Linked DNA regions of Sus scrofa. The protein of the gene in region 4 purifies or fractionates together with the protein of the main gene of each other region. This does not show direct contact. Links are inferred from orthologs where the notes say so. Each region holds a gene or a part of one and is shown on either strand. Other genes may lie near its edges.

Evidence for each region.
Region 1: the proteins of TCOF1 (region 4) and ARRB2 purify together in Homo sapiens (affinity purification with western blotting; 4 studies listed by BioGRID and IntAct, with this or other methods). This does not show direct contact. The link is inferred for Sus scrofa from reciprocal best matches to the Homo sapiens genes TCOF1 and ARRB2.
Region 2: the proteins of TCOF1 (region 4) and ARRB1 purify together in Homo sapiens (affinity purification with western blotting; 5 studies listed by BioGRID and IntAct, with this or other methods). This does not show direct contact. The link is inferred for Sus scrofa from reciprocal best matches to the Homo sapiens genes TCOF1 and ARRB1.
Region 3: the proteins of TCOF1 (region 4) and NOLC1 purify together in Homo sapiens (affinity purification with western blotting; 4 studies listed by BioGRID and IntAct, with this or other methods). This does not show direct contact. The link is inferred for Sus scrofa from reciprocal best matches to the Homo sapiens genes TCOF1 and NOLC1.
Region 5: the proteins of TCOF1 (region 4) and CSNK2A2 purify together in Homo sapiens (affinity purification with mass spectrometry; 3 studies listed by BioGRID and IntAct, with this or other methods). This does not show direct contact. The link is inferred for Sus scrofa from reciprocal best matches to the Homo sapiens genes TCOF1 and CSNK2A2.

Annotation. Positions count from the first base shown.
Region 1 is NC_010454.4:52,164,241-52,167,829, forward strand, and holds part of ARRB2 (beta-arrestin-2), read right to left. Parts: intron 2,836-3,589; exon of another isoform or gene 2,810-2,835; coding exon 2,779-2,809; intron 2,181-2,778; coding exon 2,120-2,180; intron 2,011-2,119; coding exon 1,966-2,010; intron 1,765-1,965; coding exon 1,568-1,764; intron 1,254-1,567; coding exon 1,194-1,253; intron 821-1,193; coding exon 753-820; intron 616-752; coding exon 480-615; intron 284-479; coding exon 1-283. UniProt on the Homo sapiens protein: Functions in regulating agonist-mediated G-protein coupled receptor (GPCR) signaling by mediating both receptor desensitization and resensitization processes.
Region 2 is NC_010451.4:9,536,426-9,540,471, reverse strand, and holds part of ARRB1 (beta-arrestin-1), read left to right. Parts: intron 1-1,363; coding exon 1,364-1,423; intron 1,424-2,162; coding exon 2,163-2,230; intron 2,231-4,046. UniProt on the Homo sapiens protein: Functions in regulating agonist-mediated G-protein coupled receptor (GPCR) signaling by mediating both receptor desensitization and resensitization processes.
Region 3 is NC_010456.5:113,160,967-113,165,012, forward strand, and holds part of NOLC1 (nucleolar and coiled-body phosphoprotein 1), read left to right. Parts: intron 1-147; coding exon 148-269; intron 270-394; coding exon 395-536; intron 537-1,981; coding exon 1,982-2,110; intron 2,111-2,321; coding exon 2,322-2,432; intron 2,433-2,525; coding exon 2,526-3,167; intron 3,168-3,303; coding exon 3,304-3,410; intron 3,411-3,857; coding exon 3,858-3,950; intron 3,951-4,046. UniProt on the Homo sapiens protein: Nucleolar protein that acts as a regulator of RNA polymerase I by connecting RNA polymerase I with enzymes responsible for ribosomal processing and modification.
Region 4 is NC_010444.4:151,370,975-151,375,020, reverse strand, and holds part of TCOF1 (treacle protein), read right to left. Parts: coding exon 4,039-4,046; intron 1,643-4,038; coding exon 1,491-1,642; intron 1-1,490.
Region 5 is NC_010448.4:19,982,066-19,986,111, reverse strand, and holds part of CSNK2A2 (casein kinase II subunit alpha'), read left to right. Parts: intron 1-265; coding exon 266-376; intron 377-676; coding exon 677-778; intron 779-1,263; coding exon 1,264-1,364; intron 1,365-2,842; coding exon 2,843-2,991; intron 2,992-4,046.

The DNA.
Region 1 (3,589 bases), on a different chromosome or scaffold from region 4:
CTCCAGCCCGCGCCCCCCCCCCCCGCAAGGACCCCAGGTCCTGGCCCTTTAGCATCCCTGCCTGAGGACATGTGCCCCCCACCCCCCCATCCTGGGACAGCCTGCATTCCTTGAGCCCCCCGGGGTCTCCAGCCCTGGGGTATGTCCTGTGGCTGAAACTCCCTCCCTTCAGGCAATTTTCCAACCCCCACCTCCTACCAGAGACTTTGATCTTCTTGACAGTCTTGGTGGAGTTGTTGGTGACGTGGACGTTGACATTGAGGGGCTCCCCATGGTAGTACAGCTTTTGGGGGGAAAGTTAATTGATGTCTCTTCACTGGTCCTGTTATTACTGCGCCCCCACCTCCCGCAAACACACACCCAGTGCTGGGCCTCCTCCATCTAAAGCCAAGCCCACCCCTGCAAGGAAGGCAGCCTCCTTTAGAAGCGCCCCTCCCCAGGGTCTGGCCTGCACTGCAGCACCCTGTCGCCCCCCCCACCTCCTTGTCCAGGGACGCCTCGAGGTGCAGGGACCGGTCAGACATGAGGAAGTGGCGTGTGGTTTCAGCTGAAGGCTGGGGGCCGGGTTTCTCGGGGGCAAACTGCACCTTTCGGATCACCAGCCGCACAGAGTTCCTGGGGGCAGGGAGGAGGGGTCAGACAGACTCCAGACGTGGCCGTGGCCGAGTTCTCACCCCTCACTTCTCACCTCCAACCAGGCCTGGGAGCTGGGAGGTTATGGTCAGACCCAAGGGGGGGGGTGCTTTCCTCACCTTTTGTGGCTTTTCTCTTCTACCGATTTGGCACAGAAGGCTCGAATCTCAAAGTCCACCCCGCAGGCCTTGAGAGGGGGAGAAAAGGTCACATCTTACACAAGCCCCTGCCGCCACCACCACTCCCTTCCTTCCCGCTGCCTTCGTCTTGGGCAGCCACTCTTGCCCCATCATGCTCTGAGGCGTGCAGGGCCCAGGTCTTCCTCCTCTGTCTCCGCGAGGCCCGGCACCCGGCAGAGGTCGGACCTGGCTGTGCGAGGCGAGCCCCCATACGCCGCTGTGTGCAGGTCATGAGCAGGAGGCAGTGTCCCACATGCGCAGTGACCATTCCTTGCACGTGCCCACTGCTCCCAGGGACATTTTCCTACCCTTAGCCCCACCTGGACTTCTCAGGGCCCATCCCCCCCCAAGTGTGCCCCTAGGACCCTGTTCCTCCCGTACCTTCCCTGTGTCCTCTGGGCCTGGCTGCAGGGTGACGGAGCAGGGCAGGTTCTGGGGTATCTGTGGCGGAGGAAAGGAGAGGCTTCAGTCCTTCCCGAAAGCCCCCCGAAATCTTCCTCCCAATCTCAACTTAAGAGGCTGGAGAAGGACCCCTGGGGATGAGAAAGGACACAGGAAGGGCCCCCTCCACCGGGGGGAGGGGGGAAGAAGGCAGAGAGGCAAGAGCTTCCTGTGTGCAAGGCGACCCTCAAGGACGGGGATCTGGGGTCTCTCCTCCCTGTTTCTTCCAGACCTGCCTGGAGCAGGTGCCTCACCCCCCAAACACAGTCCCAGAGCCCTTGCTCTGCAGGGGGTGTGTGTGGGGGCATCCTCACTGTGAAAAAAAAGGGGTGGGCGTGCTGGCCCAGCTTCCTCAGCAGCCGGTCCTGCAGCCGGGTGGGGGGCCGGGGCGGGTTGGGCATCGGCGGGAAGGCCTGGTAGGTGGCGATGAACAGGTCTTTGCGGAAGGACAAGCCCAGCACATCCAGGTCTTCGCGGCCATAGCGGAAGGCGCAGGTGAGGGTCACAAACACTGGCAAGAGAGGGCGAGGTGGGGCGGTCAGGGGTCCTGAGTGGCAGCTGCTCCCTCCTCGGCAGCATGAAACCTGCCCGCATTCCTACCTCTGGCTTCCGCCCCGGCCCTCCCATCTCCCTGGGGCCCCTGGAGAGGCCAGCCTGTTTCATTTCCCCGCCCTCCTCCCGGCCCTTGGGCCCCTGGACTCGGGGCCAGTACCTTTGCGGTCCTTCAAGTAGTCAGGGTCCACAAGCACCACGCCATCTGGGAAGGGGACACAGGAGCTGAGTCCCTGTCGGGGCCTCTCCTCCATCCCCGGGCCCAGGAGCTTCTTCCCCTCCCGGGGACACGAGGACTTTCTGAGCACACTTACCCACAGGATCCACTTTATCCAGGTGATCTACAAAGTCCCGCTTGCCCAGGTACACAGTGAGCTGAGGATGCAGAGGGGGCACAGGGAAGGTTGGGTAGGAGGGGGGCAGGGCTGCAGAGCCCTCAGAAGTGGCTGCCCTGCCCCTGGCCTTCCCAGGCTGGGGTATCTGGAAGGAGTTTCTCCTGGTTTCCTCCCAGTAGGGCTGGAAGAGGAGAGTGGTGGGGCCTCCCAGACCACCCAACCTGGAGGTTTGTAACAGCTCTCTGATAACTTTTCACACCTCTGCCCACAAGTCGGGTGTTTGTGTGTGTGTATGGGTCCAGGAGGACCAGGCCCTAGGCAGGCAGAGAGCCTCACCGATGCCAAGGACCTCTGGGATACAGGGGCCATAGCCTGGGGCCATGGTATCTGTCCCTAGCCCCCGGGAATGGTGGGTTGGCTCCCAAGAGGGCTCCAGGCTTGGGCTTCTGGCCCTTCCCCCTGGTCTTGCTTAGGGACCCAAGCCTGTCCCCACCCAGCCCTGTGGCTGGCTCAGGCCTCTGCAGCTAGGGGCTTCAGGAGGGAAGGAAGTGGGCGCTTAGCTGTCACAGGAAGTGGGGAGCCGGGGGTTGGGGATCGGCTAGGGGCAGGCCCGGCTTTGGGAGGGTTGGGAGACTCACCTTGCAGTTAGGACTCGACTTCTTGAAGACCCTAACAAAACAGAAAGGGAAACCCCACTGCCTCCCTCAGACTCAGCAGGGACCCTGGTGCCAGGACCTTGTCCCTCCCCAGCCTGAGAAGCAAAGCTCCCCCGAGCTTCTTGCCTGGAGGCCTCTGGGCTTTACCCAGCCCTACCCCCTCCCACTTCTTCCCAGAAGGAAAGGTAGCCAACCACAGGTCCTTCATAGTCCCAGCACGGCGGCAGCCCCTCAAAGCGGGTTCCCATGGCAACCCCCCTAGCTCCACCCTCACTCCTTCCCCTCCTCCCGTGGCCTTGGCCGCTGGGTTGCCACAGGAACCACTTAGGCTCTTCCCAGAGGACCTCCCCGCAGGGGACCTGAATGGGCAGGTTGCAGGAGTGTCTGTGGGAGAACGAACCCTCCTTCCATCCCTGGTCTCCACCTCTAACAGGAGCTGGAGTCCTTGCAAGAGCAATGGCTCTGGCCTTTGCCTCCGAAAAGGTTCCTCTGATGGGCAGTACCTAAGTGCGACCCCATTTCAGCAGCTTAAAGAGCTTATGTTTTTGAGGGCCCCTCTGAGCTATCATCTCCTTTAGAAAGCAGATCTAGCCTTGGAGCTCCCGTCGTGGCTCAGTGGTTAATGAATCCGACTAGGAACCATGAGGTTGTGGGTTTGATCCCTGGCCTTGCTCAGTGGGTTAAGGATCCGGCGTTGCCACGAGCTGTGGTGTAGGTCGCCGATGTGGCTCGGATCCTGCGTTGCTGTGGCTCTGGCGTAGGCCGGTGACTACAGCTCCGATTCGACCCCTAG
Region 2 (4,046 bases), on a different chromosome or scaffold from region 4:
GTGAGTGTCTCTTCTCTGGGCACTGCCAGGGGGCGTCACCTTTAACCCCTGGGCTGATCCCCAGACCCTCCTGAGTCCAGGTCATTGGTGGGGGGAAGAGGGGGATGGGCCGTCTCCTCCCTCAGACCTGCTGCCCACGAGCCGGCCCCCACCCAGCTCACAAATGAGGAGGGCGAGATTTCCCTGCTCGGCTCCCTTTCCACTCCAAGAATCTGGAGTTTCAAGTTTCCTGTTTCTCAGACTCTGATTCTTCGATCAGTGAAATCTCCCAGCTTTCTGTGGGGGTCAGAGACAGAAAGAGCCACCCTCTCGTGGTTTCCTGTGGCTGCTGTAACAAACCACTGCAAACCGGGTTGTAATTAAACCTGCAAATTAAAACACAACTGTGGTGGGAGTTCCTCTTGTGACGCAGTGGCAACGAATCTGACGAATACCCATGAGGATGCGAGTTGGATCCCGGCCTCGCTCCGTGGGTTAAAGATCTGGCGTTGCCGTGAGCTGTGGTGCAGTTCACGGGCGAGGCTCGGATCTGTGTGGCTGTGGTGCAGGCTGGCAGCTGCAGCTCCGACTTGACCCCCAGCCTGGGATCTTCCATATGCTGCAAGTGTGGCCCTAAAAAAACTCAAAAAAATCCCACAAAGGTGTTATCTTACAGTTCTGGAGGTCGGAAGTCCACAACAGGTCTCACTGGGCTAAAAATCCAGTATCAGCAGGGCTGCCTTGGTTCTGGAGGCTCCAGGAGGGACTCTGTTTCCTTGCTTTTTCCTGCTTCAATTTCACACTCTTTGGCCCCAGCCCACCGCTGGTCCATCTTCAAAGCCAGCAGGGGCCCAGCCTGTCTTTCTCGGATCCCATCTCTCTGATGCTGACTTCTCTGCTTCCTGCTTTCACGGTTAAGGACCCTGTGCTTACATCAGGCCCACCTGGATAATCGGGACCACTCTCCCCATCGCGGGAGCCTCCATCACACCTGTAAAGTCGTTTGGGCCGTTTAAGGCAACAGTGCTGGGCTTTGGAGAGTAGGAGGTAGACCCCTGGGGGAGGCCACTTCTCTGCCTACCACAGCGGACTTCTTGGAAAGACCTTTGCCGCTCTCCTTCTGTGGGGCCTGTGCTGGGCTAAACCCTTAGATAAAGAAAAGCACTGAAATTCTTGGCTTTGCTGGAGGGACCTCTGGTCTCACACGGGGCGTGGCCCGGCGTGGTCTGATGGCGGAGACGTGGCCTGTCCTCTGAATTCCCTAGTCTGATGGAAGGAGCCTGTCCTGAGGGGCCCCTGCTCTGATGAATGGGGGGTGGGGGTGGGGGCGGAGACCCAGGGAGGCCCGAGGTGAATGTGACAGGTCCGTCTGTCCTCTTCACAGATCCCTCCGAACCTCCCATGCTCTGTGACGTTGCAGCCGGGGCCTGAAGACACAGGGAAGGTGGGTCCCCCCAAGGGAGCATCTCTCTGGGTCCAGGACGCTGTGTCCCCAGTCCCCACCTTCTCTCTGGGGGTGCTGGAACCCTCCCTGTAGACACCTCCTGTGTCTAGACCAGGCTGATCCCACCTCAGATGAGGAGTCTTTTCAGATGGGGCGACAGGTATGGTATCATCCTTGCCCCCTGGCTCAGTGATGTGCCCAGGGCCTCTCCTGAGTCACTTGCCCTTCGGTGTTGGCTGCAGAATGTTCTCTGGACAACGGTCGGGCCTCACAACCTTGTGTGGAGGTGCACCCATCACCATTTCTCAGGGGGGGAGACTGAGGCTCGGAGAACCTCTCAGGCCTCAGATCTGCGACATGGAGGTGATGGGACCTGCCTTGTGGCGTGTCCGGAGGGTGGAGTGAATGCTGAAGGGCACAGCGGTCAGTGCGGGGTCCGCGTGCAGGCGGCGCTCCCTGCGCGGGGCTGCCGAGGTCCCGCTGTCCTTGCTGGGCGGCTGCCTCGATGTGGACAGGAGTCTTCAGAGGAGCCGGTCAGGGAGCAGCTCCGTGGGAGGGTCGGATGGGGGAGGCAGCCCTGCACTTTTTCCTTTGCAGCGCAGTGCACGGTGCACGAGAGGGCTCAGGCTGTGGGAACATGTGTTCCTGTCCCGTGGCCTTGGTAAATGAGGGCAGGCCAGCCGTGCCCACAGGAGCCTGCCCTCTCCAAGGCCCTGTGCTCAGAAACCCTTCCCCACAGGCCTGCGGTGTGGACTACGAAGTAAAAGCCTTCTGTGCAGAGAACCTGGAGGAGAAGATCCACAAGCGGTGAGGAGAGGCAGCTTCGGCCGCCTGGGTGTGGGCTGCCTGCTGGCCGTCGGGGGAGACAGGATCGGAAAAGTCCGAAGAGGATAGAAGGAACAATGCCTGGAAGTGTGTGAGGAGGGGCTGCATTCCAGCCTTGGGAACTCTGCAGAGGGCACAGGGGAAGGCTGGCAGGTCGGGAGGGCTTCCTGGAGGAGGTGGCTCCGTTGCTCTGGCTCAGGCCTCAGCGCTTTGTCCTTGGCACCACTCTGTACCCACTTCCTTCATCTCCCTGCCTCTAATCTCTTCCTCTCCAGACTTCGTGTCCTTTAATTTGTTTTGGAAAAAACCTGAAATTCAGATTGTTTTCAACAGTGAGCAAGATGTTTCCCCTGCCATTCTGGCCCAACTTCCCAGTTCTCTTGGGAGGCCATCAGCAGGGGGTTGGGGGTGGCAAGGGGGGTCGGGGGGGAGGGGAGGGAGCTGTGTCCGTGGAGGCCCCTGAGCAAAGGAGGGAAGTGGAGAAGGTGAAGCTGCCCAGGGCAGAGAGAGGAGGAGGTCAGCCTTGTCTCAGAGGAGGGAAGCATTTTACTGGAGAGACACAGCCCTGGCTGGACAGAAAGCCCAGACCAGCTGCCGGGAGTAGCTGGCCCTTACCTCTGGGGTGAGCTGCCCAGCCCCGCTCCCATACCTGCCCCTCCTGGGCTCAGACTGCGCTTGGCCTCCTGGAAGGGCTTAGCCAGCAACTCTGCAGCCCCTGCCCCCAGTCACCGGCGCTGCAACCCCTTGGTGAGTGGGCCAAGTTGCCACCTGGTGGTTACATGTGGCATTGCAGGCGTCTCCCACTCCAGCCTGGCAGCTCATGTGCGTGGCGAGAGGGAACCCGTCTCCTCTGCTTCTCTGTACCCTTTTTCTTCTGAAGACCTGAGACCAGGAAAAAGGAAGGGGGTTGTAGGTTGTGGTAGGGGGTCTAGCCAGAGCAAGGCGGGGGAGGCAGCCCTGAGAGCCAGCACTCTCAACCTGCACCCATGGGACATTTTAAAGCCACGCCAGAGTTACCCCTTAACATAATACAGCAGCTCGCACTTATCAAGAGCTTATTATACACCAGACACAGTTCAAAGTGATGGACACGTACGAGCTAATTTAATCCACACAGCAAGCGTAAGAAGAGGGTCCTGCCATTGTCGCCATTTTACAGATGAGGAAACTGAGGCCCAGGGGTTCATTTACTCAAGGTCATGCCGTTAGTAAGGGGAGGGCTAGGACTTGAATCCTGGCTGTCTGGCTCCAGGGAACGGAGGTGGCTTCTCTGAGAATCAGGGATGCCAGCACACCCAGCCCCCACGGAGACTGCCTGTCCTGCTGTCCTCCCTGAGCCCCGTCGCCGGGCCACCCTCATCTCACTGAGTCTTTATCTCCTTTACTGGTCCTCGTCGCCTGACTGCATATGCGTCCTTTCCCTGAACTCATCACCTCCTCAAGCCCCCGTTCTTCCTGGGGCCCTTGTCCCCGTGCACATTTTTATTTAATAAATACTCAGCAGGTATTCAGTACATGGCGGCCGGCGTTGTCGTAGGTACTGAGAACATAGCAGTCAACGATTTAGACAGAAACGTCTATCCTGAAAGAGCTCACGTTCTTAGGTGCCATGGGGACGCAGGAAGTGAAACATAGTCGCTTTCTTAGCATCCTGCTGGCTACCAAGACACAGAGCCACATAACGTGCTGCCACGGGATGGCTTGGCCCCTGATGTGGTAGGAGTTCAGAGCAGTTGACCTTGAGGAAGGAAGGTCAGTTGACCTCGGGGAAGGAAGCGGATGAGGGCGGAAGCTGGAA
Region 3 (4,046 bases), on a different chromosome or scaffold from region 4:
AAATTAATCCTTTGCTACAGTAAACCACAGCATTCTCCGTCATGCCTGCTCCAAAGGCAGGAGACTCCAAAGTACTGAGCTAATAGGAAGGAGAGTTTTAATGGCCTTTTGGTGCCTTGATGCTCCTTACATTATCTTATATTGTAGGTACACCAGCTCGGGCAGCACCTAAAGTAGCCAATGGCAAAGCAGCTAGCAGCAGCAGTAGTAGCAGCAGCAGCAGTGATGATGACTCAGAGGAGGAGAAGGCAGCAGCCGTCTCCAAGAAGGTATGGGCCTTAACTTCAACCAGGGAAGAGGGCATTGGGGACGGAGGTGAGGGGTCTCTGTTTCATGGCAGGATTGGTTGGGTCAGCATTTTCCTGTGGTAATCGATTTTCTCCACGTAATGCAGACGGTACCTAAAAAGCAAGTTGTGGTCAAGGCCCCAGTGAAAGCAGCTGCTGCTCCTGCCCAGAAGAGTTCCAGCAGTGAGGACTCCTCCAGTGAGGAGGAAGAGGAAGAACAGAAGAAAAAACCAATGAAGAAAAAACCAGGTGAGGAGTTCCCTGGTGGTGCAGCGGGTTAAGGATCCAGCTTTGTCACTGCTGTGGCTCTGGTTACAACTTTGACTCAGGTTCGATCCTGGCAGATTCTGCATGCCATAAGCACAGCCAAAAAGCGCCAGGTGGCTGGACATGGGGAGTCAAGCTATGTGACTGTGAACAGGGCCCGATTGCAGAGAACCTCTGCAGTCACCATGTGGACCTCTTCCTAGAGCTACCTGGCATGGCAGCTAGCTTCTCCCAGAGAAAGGAGAATGCCACACACTGTCTTTTTTATAGCCTGGACTCGAAAGAGTGACATGTCATCATTTCTGTTTTTTTGGGTTTTTTAAAAAATTTTATTAGTTATTTTTGTCTTTTGTCTTTTTAGGGCCACACCTGTGGCATATGGAGGTTCCCAGGCTAGGGGGTCAGTGGGAGCTGTAGCTGCCAGCCTATGCCACACCTCACAGCAGTGCCAGATCCTTAACCCACTGGGTAAGGCCAGGGGTAGAACCCTCATCTTCATGGATACTCATTGGGTTCGTTAACCACTGAGCCATGAAGGGAACTCCCCACCATGTTCTTTTTGTCAGAAATGAGTCAACCCATCCTAACCTCTGCTCAGCTGAAGGGGAATTAAGCTCCATTTCTAGAAGGAAGAAGTATCAAAAGAATTCTGTACTTTTTTTTTTTTTTTGGTCTTTTTTTATAGGGCTGCACCCATGAGATGTGAAAGTTCCTAGGCTAGGGGTCGAAATCAGATCTGTAGCTGCTGGCCTATGCCACAAATGCAGCAAAGCCAGATCCAAGCCAAGTCTGCGACCTACACCACAGCTCATAGTAATGCTGGATCCTTTAACCCATTGAGTGAGGTTAGGGATCAAACCCGTGTCCCCATGGATACTTGTCAGGTTTATTCCCACTAAGCCACAATGGGAACTCCTATTTCTTTTTCTAATGGCTGCACCTGTGGACTATGGAAGTTCCCAGGCCAGGGATTGAACTTGAGCTACAGCTTCGACCTACGCCACAGCTGTGGCAATACTGCCTCCTTTAATTGCGCCTGATTGAACCTGTGTCTCTGTAGCAACCTGAGCTGCTGAAGTCGGATTCTTTTTTTTTTTTTATTGTTTTTTTGCCATTTCTTGAGCCGCTCCCCCAGCATATGGAAGTTCCCAGGCTAGGGGTCTAATCGGAGTTGTAGCCGCCAGCCTATGCCACAGCCACAGCAACGCAGCTGCATCTGCAACCCACACCACAGCTCACAACAATGCCAGATCCTTAACCCACTGAGTGGGGCTGGGATCAAACCCTCAACCTCCTGGTTCTCAGTCGGATTCGTTAACCACTGAGCCATGACGGGCACTCCTGAAGTCAGATTCTTAATCCATTGCATCACAGTGGGAACTCCACTGTACTTATTTTAAAACCACCACACTCTCCCTTCTAAATAGGTACTTATAGTTCAGTTCCCCCACCTTCCGTTCCGTCACCCAAGAAGCCCCTGGGAACCCAGGCTCCCAAGAAAGCTGCAGGGAAGCAGGAGCCTGTGGAGAGCAGTGAGGACAGCAGCGACGAGTCTGGTGAGTGGTCACCTGTGCTAAGTGGGAGTGGGGAGTGTGTGAGGAAATGCTTCTGTCCCTTCTGCTTTTCCCTGAAGCAAGACAGGGCTGAGGCTCTGTGTGAGTCTTCGCATCTTGTTTGTATTGCCCCTGGTTGGGGCGGGACTCTTGTTTGTATTGCCCCTGGTTGGGGGGGGGCTCTGGACCCAGCCTGAGCCATTGTTCACTCCAGATTCAAGTTCTGAGGAAGAAAAGAAACCCCCAGCTAAGGCAGTTGTACCAAAAGCCGCTACTAAAGCAGCTCCAGCAAAGAAGGCAGCAGAGAGCTCTTCAGATAGCTCAGGTAAGGCATATGGAGGCCTTTGGGGCAGTGGGAGCTCCAGGGACTCCCCAGAGTCTAGTTTGGGGAGCCACTCATTCTATTCTTGCTGTCTAGACTCTGACAGTTCTGAGGATGAAGCTCCTGCCAAGCCAGCCAGTGCCACCAAGAATTCAAGTAAGCCAGCTGCCACTCCCAAGCAGTCTATAGCTAAGCCAGCCACAAGTTCCAAGCAGCCTGTAGGCAGTGGCCAGAAGCCTCTGACCAGAAAGGCTGATAGCAGCTCCAGTGAGGAGGAGAGCAGTTCTAGTGAGGACGAGAAGATGAAGAAGACTGTAGCAACGCCTAAGTCCAAGGTGACGGCCAAAGCAGCTCCATCTTTGCCTGCCAAGCAGGCCTCTCAGGGTGGTGGGGATAGCAGTTCTGATTCAGACAGCTCTAGCAGCGAGGAAGAGGAGGAAGAGAAGACGTCTAAAACCCCAGCTAAAAAAATGCCACAGAAGGATGTGGGAGCTGTAGCCCCTTCTAAGCCAGCATCTGCGAAGCAAGCCAAGGCTGAGAGCAGCAGCAGTTCTTCCTCTGATGACTCCAGTGAGGAGGAGGAAGAGGACAAGCCCAAGGGCAAGAGCACTCCGAAACCACAGGCCCCCAAGGCCAATGGCACCACTGCATTGACTGCCCAGAATGGAAAAGCAGATAGGGATAGCAACGAGGAGGAAGAGGACAAGAAAAAGGCAGCAGTGGGAGTTTCTAAGCCAGGTCTGTATCCAGAGAACCTGCCCCCCAAATCAGGATGGGCTGTAGTCCTGGGGTGGGGTGGGCTGGGATAGGGAGCTGAGGCCCATAAGTGGCTTCCAGGAAACCAGTCTCCTGAGGCTTATTTTCTGTTGTACAGGTTCAGGAAAGAAGCGGAAGCAAAATGAGGCTGCTAAGGAGACAGAGACACCTCCAGCCAAGAAGATAAAGCCCCAGACTCCCAACACATTTCCTAAAAGGAAGAAAGTAAGCAGTCTTATTTTCCTCTCAGGAGCCAGCTTTTAGAGTAGGAAGAAAAATCTCGGATCGACTCTGACTGTTCTTTTTTTTGTCTTTTTGCTATTTCTTTGGGCCCCTCCCGCGGCATATGGAAGTTCCCAGGCTAGGGGTTGAATCGGAGCTGTAGCCACCGGCCTACACCAGAGCCACAGCAACGCGGGATCCGAGCCGCGTCTGCAACCTACACCACAGCTCACAGCAACGCGGGATCATTAACCCACTGAGCAAGGCAGGGACCAAACCCGCAACCTCATGGTTCCTAGTTGGATTCATTAACCACTGTGCCACGACGGGAACTCTGACTCTGACTGTTTTTTGCCTGGCTTGGCACACATGCTTGTGTGTGTGTAGCTCAGGGGGGCTTTTCTGTTCCATGACCACGCCACCTTGATTTTCTACTTCATTGTTCTCCAGGGAGAGCGCAGGGGATCCTCTCCATTCCGAAGGATAAGGGAGGAGGAGATCGAGGTGGATGCTCGGGTGGCAGATAATTCCTTTGATGCCAAGGTGAGTGGAGAGGTGGGTGGGGTAGGAGAGAGGACAGCTTTTGGTTCCGGTTGGTGGGACGTTCTCTGGGTTCAGGGTGCCTGGAGCAGGGAGAAG
Region 4 (4,046 bases):
CGTGGAGGGGCAGGCGGGTTCGGGGAGTGGGGGTGCAGGCGGGTTCGGTGGGGGGGCAGGCGGGTTCGGGGAGTGGGAGAGGAGCAGACAAGGGGGAGGAAGAAACCTCTCACTTCTCTCCTCTTTGATTTTGTACAGTTCTTATTTTGCATTATCATTTAAACGATTAAGCAAGGTATAAAATGCATGTTCGGTATGATTCACATATTTGAAGAAATATGCTCAGAAAAATAAATGGAAGAATAATTTGCCAAATTATGTGTGGTAAGAATATGGGTAATTTCCCCCACCTTTTTAAAAAATGATTTTCACATATTCTATAATGAATACTCCATGATGAAGCCTGTATTTCTTTTACAATCGGAAATGTATTTAAAAATTAAGAAATTACCTTCTGTCTAAGTAAAAACCAGTAACGCAGAGAACGCTAACTCCCCGGCAGAGCTACGACTGCTGTTGGTTAAGCACAAACTGCTCTGAGAACAGAGCTGTCAGGCCTCAGGCGGTCACCCCAGCCGGTGCTCTGGAACCAGAGTGCCGGCACGGCCACGCTGCACACCTCCAGACACACCAAGATCGACACGGCCCAGACACACACAGGAGGGGCCTGCCCGCCGCCCTCTGTGAAATCTCCTTGCAGCAGCTCTCCTCAAAATATGGGCTTCTTTCTTTCGCTATCAGAATCACCTGGGGGGCTTGTGAAAACGGAGCTCCTGGAGTTCCCGTTGCGGCTCAGCGGTAAAGAACTTAACTAGTAACCATGAGGACGAGGGTTCGATCCCTGGCCTCGCTCAGTGGGAAGGATCCGGCGTTGCTGTGGCTGTGGCTGTGGTGCAGGCCGGCAGCTGCAGCTCCGATTGGACCCCTAGCCTGGGAACCTCCGTGAGCTGTGGGAGGAAGAAGCCCTACAAAAAAAGGAGGGAAAAATAAAAGTGCAGTTCCTGGGCCGCACTGACCAAAGCAGATGCAAGGGCCCAGCTATGCTTTTGTTCACCACTGGACACCCAACACCGGGGACATGACAGCCCAGAGGAAGCGCTCAAGTCAAGACTAAGACAGGGGAGCTCCCATCGTGGCTCACTGGTTAACGAATCCGACTAGGAACCAGGAGGTTGCAGGTTCAGTCCCCAGCCTCACTCCCCAGTGGGTTAGGGATCCAGTGTGGCTGTGAGCTGTGGTGTGGGTCGCAGACGTGGCTTGAATCTGGTGTTGCTATGGCCCTGGAGGCTAAAGCTCCGATTAGATCCCTAGCCTGGGAACCTCCATATGCCGGAGGTGCGGCCCTAAAAAGACAAAAAAAAAAACCAAAAAAAAACTAAAACAGGTATGAGGGGCCCTTCTGACGAACCTCTCCAGGGGCCTGGTCCTCCAGGGCACACACAGTGAAGGAGAAGCGGGCGGCGGGCCCGCCCCTGGAACAATCTGGCATCAGTGGCTTGTTCCCCAAGGAGCAGGCACCGGGCTGGGCTCACCCCGCACAGTGGACTTACTGGCTTTGGCATTTCTGGCTTCGGCCGCTTCCTCCTCCTCCTCCTCCTCCTCCGAGCTCTCCGAGCTGCTGATGGGGTCTGACACGCGGGTCTTCTTGGCCTGCAGGGCTGCGTCTTCCTCCGCCTTCCGCTTCCGGCCAAGCTCCGAGGTTCTGCAGGACAAGGGTGACTGACCTGCTCCACCGAGGGACAAGGGCGACCCCAGGAGAGTCAAAAAGGAAGATCCTCCCGCCCCTCCCGCCCCCGAGGAAACGTGTGTGAAGCTACAGAAACACTGTGGATGCAAGTTTGGGGTCTGCAATCTCACGCCATCGCGTCCTTACAGCCACCTCTGCGTCTTCAAAGCGGCAGCAGCGCGCCGTCCCTGAGCGCCCCGGGCCGGCACTGCGGACACAGCACGGCAGTCGGGCTGGGCTCCGGGGGCTCCAAAGCGGGGGCGCCTGCACTGCCCTCTTCCTGGCCTGGCCTCGGCTCCAGCACAGCCTCCTCAGAGGCCTCCCTCCCACGGGACCGGTTCTGCCCTGCCGTCCTGGGTCACATGCTTCTCTCCTGTTATTTCACCCACTTCCTGCTCGACGCCCCCCCGCCCCCGTACAGGCAGGCCTGGGAGGGGGGTGCTGGCAGGAACCCTCGCGCCTCACTACAGCCCCTCGAGCGCCCAGCGCAGGCTAAGTGACGCGCCCAGGGGCAGGAAGAAGGCTGGGGCTCCAGGGAGGGGGTGAGCACCCAGACGGCCGAGTCGCGGGAACTTGGAACTCGGAAGCCGTGTCGCCTCTGACCCCAGCCCCCTGCCCGGAGGGAGTCCCTGTCTGTGCCCCGTGGTCTCCAGCTGGGACAGACGCGGCTCTGCCACAGTCTGGGGTGTGCTGCTCGGGCCCCATGTTCCCAGCAAGGCCACCTGCCGGGATCTTCTGCAAAACCAGGTTCGTTTACTCTGAGGCCCAGTTCGCTCCGCCTCTCTCCTCCCAGCAGAACGCAAGCGGCACAGAAGCAGGCGTTTTGTCTGGTTCGCTCCCAGCTACGGTAAGAACAGCGCTGGCGCACGGCAGGCGCTCAGTGAACCCTGGGGGTGGGGGTGGGGTGGCCATGCCTCCGGCGGCAGGTGTAGCGCGTCATCTGCTCTTCTCTATTTCACGGGTGGAGATGGACTTGGGGAGGCCAAGTTTGTCCACGGTGATCCACTTGTCGCTGGGTTCGCACCACTAGCTAGGAGGGCTCTGGTCCTCAGCGCCCCCCACCCGAGGAGGGGCCTGTGCAGGGAGGGGTGGCGGCGGGCCCGCTGAAGCAGTTCTCTGGGAAAGGAAGTGCCAAGCCCACGCCCAGACACCGGGCAGGAGGAAGGGGGGCCCCGCGCACCTAGCAGCAGAGCAGAGACAAGACAGCTCTCCCCCGGCCGAGCTCTCCACCCGAGGGGGGCCCCGACACCAGCCTGCCCTGTTGGCACACCCGAGGCCGGGGAGCCCACCCTCCACAGCAGCTGCCCTCATCGTGGCGACTGAGACCCACTGCTTCCACTCGGAAGCTGAGCCCGTCTTCCTCGAGCAGGTACATTCATTCCGACTTCAGTCTCTGAGGCCCCCGAGGACCCCCCACGCTCTCCGTCCTCAGAGATGGCAGACCTGGTCCCGCACCTGCCTCTCTGCCGCCTTTTCCATCTCGGACCTCCTGTACCCCTGCCATTCCTCAGGGGACACGATCAGGTCCTTCACAGCCCGAGCTGCTGCGGTTGGGCCGCTTCACGGGCAGAACGACTGTCCCCGCGTCATTCTCAAACCACTCCTCTGCTGTCCCCCCATCACCCCTCCCCCTGTACACGTGGCACAGGCTCATCACATTCCACGTGCCCTTGAACGCTCTCCCCCCATCAGGCTCCTTCCACGCAGGTGTACAAGCCAGACACCCGGGGGCGCCCGGCGCCCCCGCCGCCCCCGCCCCGTGGCTCTTGTTGGGACGCCGACGCCCACACACCGGCCTGCCGACCTCACCCCTGGCGGCTTCCCCGCCCCGTGGCTCCCACGGCGCTGGGGACAAAGACACGCCTTCACGCCGTGGGTCGGGCCCCGCTGACCTCGCCTGCTCCGTGCCTGCTGCTACTGGCCTCAGCGCCAGCAGGTGCCCCGCCAGGGCTTGGCCTCTCCATACCTACCGCCTAGTTCACTGCCCACGCCCCGATGCGGTCACATCAAAGCCCAGAGGCCACGCTAAGCTGTTAGGTGGCCGGGCCCTGGACACCGCTTCTCCCCACCCTCACCGCCCCGCAACTTCCCCGCCCTCGTCTCAGTGTCTGAGGCCTGTCTCACTCCAGACAGCATCTCTGTACCTAGAACAGACCCGACTGACTGAAGGAGGACCAGCTGCTGAGAAGCTTCGTCCTTAAGAGGCGCTGATCCCAGGTCTCAGCATCCTCTCCACGACCAGACACCCACACCTGGGATCTGGCTTCTTGGAGGTGACAACAGAATCTGCAGGGGGGATGGGGGCAGCCCTAGACCAGCTGAGAGCTGGGGGGCTTGTCTCCCTACTTGGTCCCCGGCGCCCGCGGACTTACTGTTGCCA
Region 5 (4,046 bases), on a different chromosome or scaffold from region 4:
GGGAACTCGAATGTTCCCCAGGTATGGCTGTAAAAAGGGGGAGGGGTAAAAAGAATGATAAGCCAGGATAATTTAAATTTTTAAAAGAAAAAGCAAGTAAGATTCCAGGTGCTCTGCTTTAGAAATAATCTTAAATGTAGTTGCTGAAAGTATCAACAGTGTACTTTATGTGGCCAAATACTTATCTAAAATGATGTGGCCTTGTTGTAAGACACAGGCATCTAAAAAACATTCCTTTCCCACGTTTTATTTGCCATACTTATAGCTGCGACTGATAGACTGGGGTTTGGCAGAATTCTATCATCCAGCTCAGGAGTACAATGTCCGAGTAGCCTCGCGGTACTTCAAGGGACCAGAGCTCCTTGTGGACTATCAGGTAAAATTGTTAGTGAAGCACCTCTGGGTTCCTTTTTTTTTTCTCTAGGGCTTTTCCTGTGGGGTTTTTTTTTTTTTTTTTTTTTCTTCCCTGATTTTTATTTAGTCAATTTGGATACGTTCAAAATCCTGTCTATTCTATCTCAAAATGATAATTACTCGTTTTTCTCAGCTTCTTTTTTCTTTTTTTTTTTCCTTTGAATTTTAAAACATCTGCAGAGGTCAGCTAAAGACTAGAAACTCAGGTCAGAAAAATGGCATTTGTAACACCCTTGATGACTGGTTGTCTTTATTTCCTCAGATGTATGATTATAGCTTGGATATGTGGAGTTTGGGCTGTATGTTAGCAAGCATGATCTTTCGAAAGGAGCCCTTCTTTCATGGACAGGATAACTATGACCAGGTAAGCAAATACCATCTGACTCCTATCCATTTGGGGACAGATGCCAAGAAAATAGCATCTTGTAGGGATGCTATGCATATAAGCTTTTTTCAGAGTAAAGAATTTCACAGAATCTTGTCTGTAGTTACCGGGTCCCTATAGATAAAGACAGATAATGCTGTTATGCCCAACTTCCAAAGTGAGTCTGTGAAGAAGTCAAGTACCTCCTTGTCTAATAAAATAAGGTTCTAATCATTAGATGTTATACCAACATAACTGTTATTGCCTTAAGTTGTTGTTACTGTTTTAAAGGCATTTTGGAAATTTGCATTCATGTGAACTTCGTATCCATGGGTCTGCTGCCTGTCCACCCCAGGCTCAGATCTGTATCTGGTCCCTGGAGATTTACTGATGTGGAAGTCTTCTGATTCCTTGGTCCAGCATGTCCACGGGCTTGGCAGTGAGTTCTGTGCTCAGTGATTTGGTCAGTTTGTTTTGTGTTTCAGCTTGTTCGCATTGCCAAGGTTCTGGGTACAGATGAGCTGTATGGGTATCTGAAGAAGTATCACATAGACCTAGATCCACACTTCAACGATATCCTGGGACAGTAAGTAAGAGAGAGAAAGAAAGAGGGTTTTAACTTAGCCCATTTCAGAAGTGAAAAGGTTAGCTTTCTAAAAGCTCTTTTCCCCTTTCTAATCGTGTCAGGATGGAAATACTTTTTCCCCCCATTTGTATTATTTTTTAACTTACCTTGAAATATTGGGCATTGTTTACACATGTGTCTTCTAATCAGTATAATTCTCTGAGAGATAACCTGTTTATCAATAGAAAATGGAAGACAAAATCTAGTACAGCATATGCTTATTTTAATGGAAAAATTTTTTGTATTTTTTTATTACAGTACAATTGATTTATACTGTTCCAATTTCTTCTGTACAGTAAAGTGACCCAGTCATATATATGTGTGTTTGTGTGTATATATGTATATATATATATACTTATATCATCTCTTATGTTCTGTTCCAAGAGATTGGACACAGTTCCCTATGCTATACAGTAGTAATGGAAGATTATGGAAAGCTGTAATTCTTTGATTTTTGGGGAGTTCCCATTGTGACTCAGTGGTAACAAACCTGGCTGGTGTCCATGAGGATGTGGGTTTGATCCCTGACCTCGCTTGGTGGGTTAGGGATCTGGCATTGCCATGAGCTGCAGTGTAGGTTGCAGACTGAGCTTGGATCCCGCATTGCTGTGACTGTGGTGTAGGCCAGCAGCTATAGCTCTCATTCAACCCTTAGCCCGGGAACGTCCATATGGATGTGGCCCTAAAAAAAAGAGAGTTGGTTGCTTATTGTTCTGTGTAATGGATTTTCTAGAAGGGAGCAAATTTTAAAGCATGTTTTCAGATACAGTACAATAGTGTTGAAAAGTAAATGTAGTATTGACAATTTTTAGACAGTAATTTATAGAACCTCCGTGTTTCTAAAGCTAATGCTGTAAATGTACCTGCTAAACAATAAAGATTACTCAGCTACCTCTTTGCCTAACCCAGAATTGACAAAGCCTGGGATATAAAAATTTATCTAAAAAGGTTCCACAACTTCTAAATCAGATGTAGAAGTTTTAATTAATTCTGTGTTAGCAGTCACAGAGCACTTTTTTTTTTTTTGAGAATGTTGTGATCATAACTGTGAGGGGAGGTGGGACAGGCACCAGTAAGAAAGAGGTTTAATGAGCTTGTCTTTTTTTTTGTCTTTTTAGGGCTGCTCCTGCAGCATATGGAGGAGCTGTAGCTGCCAGTCTACACCACAGCCAAAGCAATGCCAGATCCGAGCCACGTCTGCGACCTACACCACACTCATGGCAACGCCAGATCCCCACCCCACTGGGCGAGGCCAGGGATCAAACCCGAAACCTCGTGGTTCCTAGTCAGACTTGTTTCCACTTCGCCATGACGGGAACTCAGATTTAATGAGCTTGTAATCAGCACAGTGTTCTAAGACTTTGCTGGCTTGAGCCCTAATACGTAAGGATTCTTGTTGAATTAGTCTCAGAATACCAGTGCTTTCCTTTTCTTCTCAGACATTCACGGAAACGCTGGGAAAACTTTATCCATAGTGAGAACAGACACCTCGTCAGCCCTGAGGCCCTAGATCTTCTGGACAAACTTCTGCGATATGACCATCAACAGAGACTGACCGCCAAAGAGGCCATGGAGCACCCGTACTTCTGTGAGTCTCCAGGGGCCTGATTTGTCAGAGAAATTCTTCTACCCTTTATCTTAGAGGCTGGTTGAGAGAATTCTGCGTATCTGGATGAATCATCCTTGGTATTTGGCCTCATTAGTTCTAGACTATTGAAACAACCCTGCAAAGGTATTTGCTTATTCACCACTGGGGCTCCCTTGAGTCTGGTCTGTTGGACTGTAGCCTGTGACTCTGAGTTGATAGATCACAAGTATCTAAAATTTTGTTTTCAAATATGTACATTTGTGTGGAAACCTATTCAGAGATTTCCCCCCACCCCCGCCAATAAAACATGATTTGGAGTTCCCACTGTGGTCTGGTGGGTTAAGAACCAGACTGCAGCAGCTCAGGTTGCTGCAGAGGTACATGTTTGATCCCAGCCTGACACAGTGGGTTAAAGGATCCAGCGTTGCTGCAGCTGTGGATTGGATTCAGTCCGTAGCCTGGGAATTTCCATATGCCACAGGTGCCGCCATTTAAAAAAACAACCAAAAAACAAATGATTTGTTGAAAGTAATAAGGTGATCATAGTGTATTTTTTAAGGAGGAAATAAGTAAGTACAAAGAGTTTGAGGAAAGGAAGGACCTTACTAAAATCCCGAGTTACCCACCTCTTAGGTCTCACCTTGAAGTATGTGTGTATATTCACTTTATGTGGATGCTTATTGGTATTCATGTCTATGGTCTCCCCGCCCCCGGTAAAGTATGTCCCGGACTTTGATTATAGACAGTGCAAAATGCAAGGTCATTTAGTCCAGTGACAGAGAGACTGTGTAAGGGTGGTCGAGTGACATGTCTCAGTTTTCTCTCTGTTGCTTGACCAATACACTATCTTCCTTTCTCCCTTTTCTCCTCTCTGGAGGTTAACTAAATCTTGCCCAAAGAATACATGACTCTGTGATGTTGAGCCTGCTGGTCCGTAAGCATTAGAGGACAGCAAATGTTGGAGTTCCTGTCATGGCTCAGCGATAACGAACCCAACTACTATCCATGAGGATGCGGGTACGATCCCTGGCCTCGCTCAGTGGGTTAAGGATCTG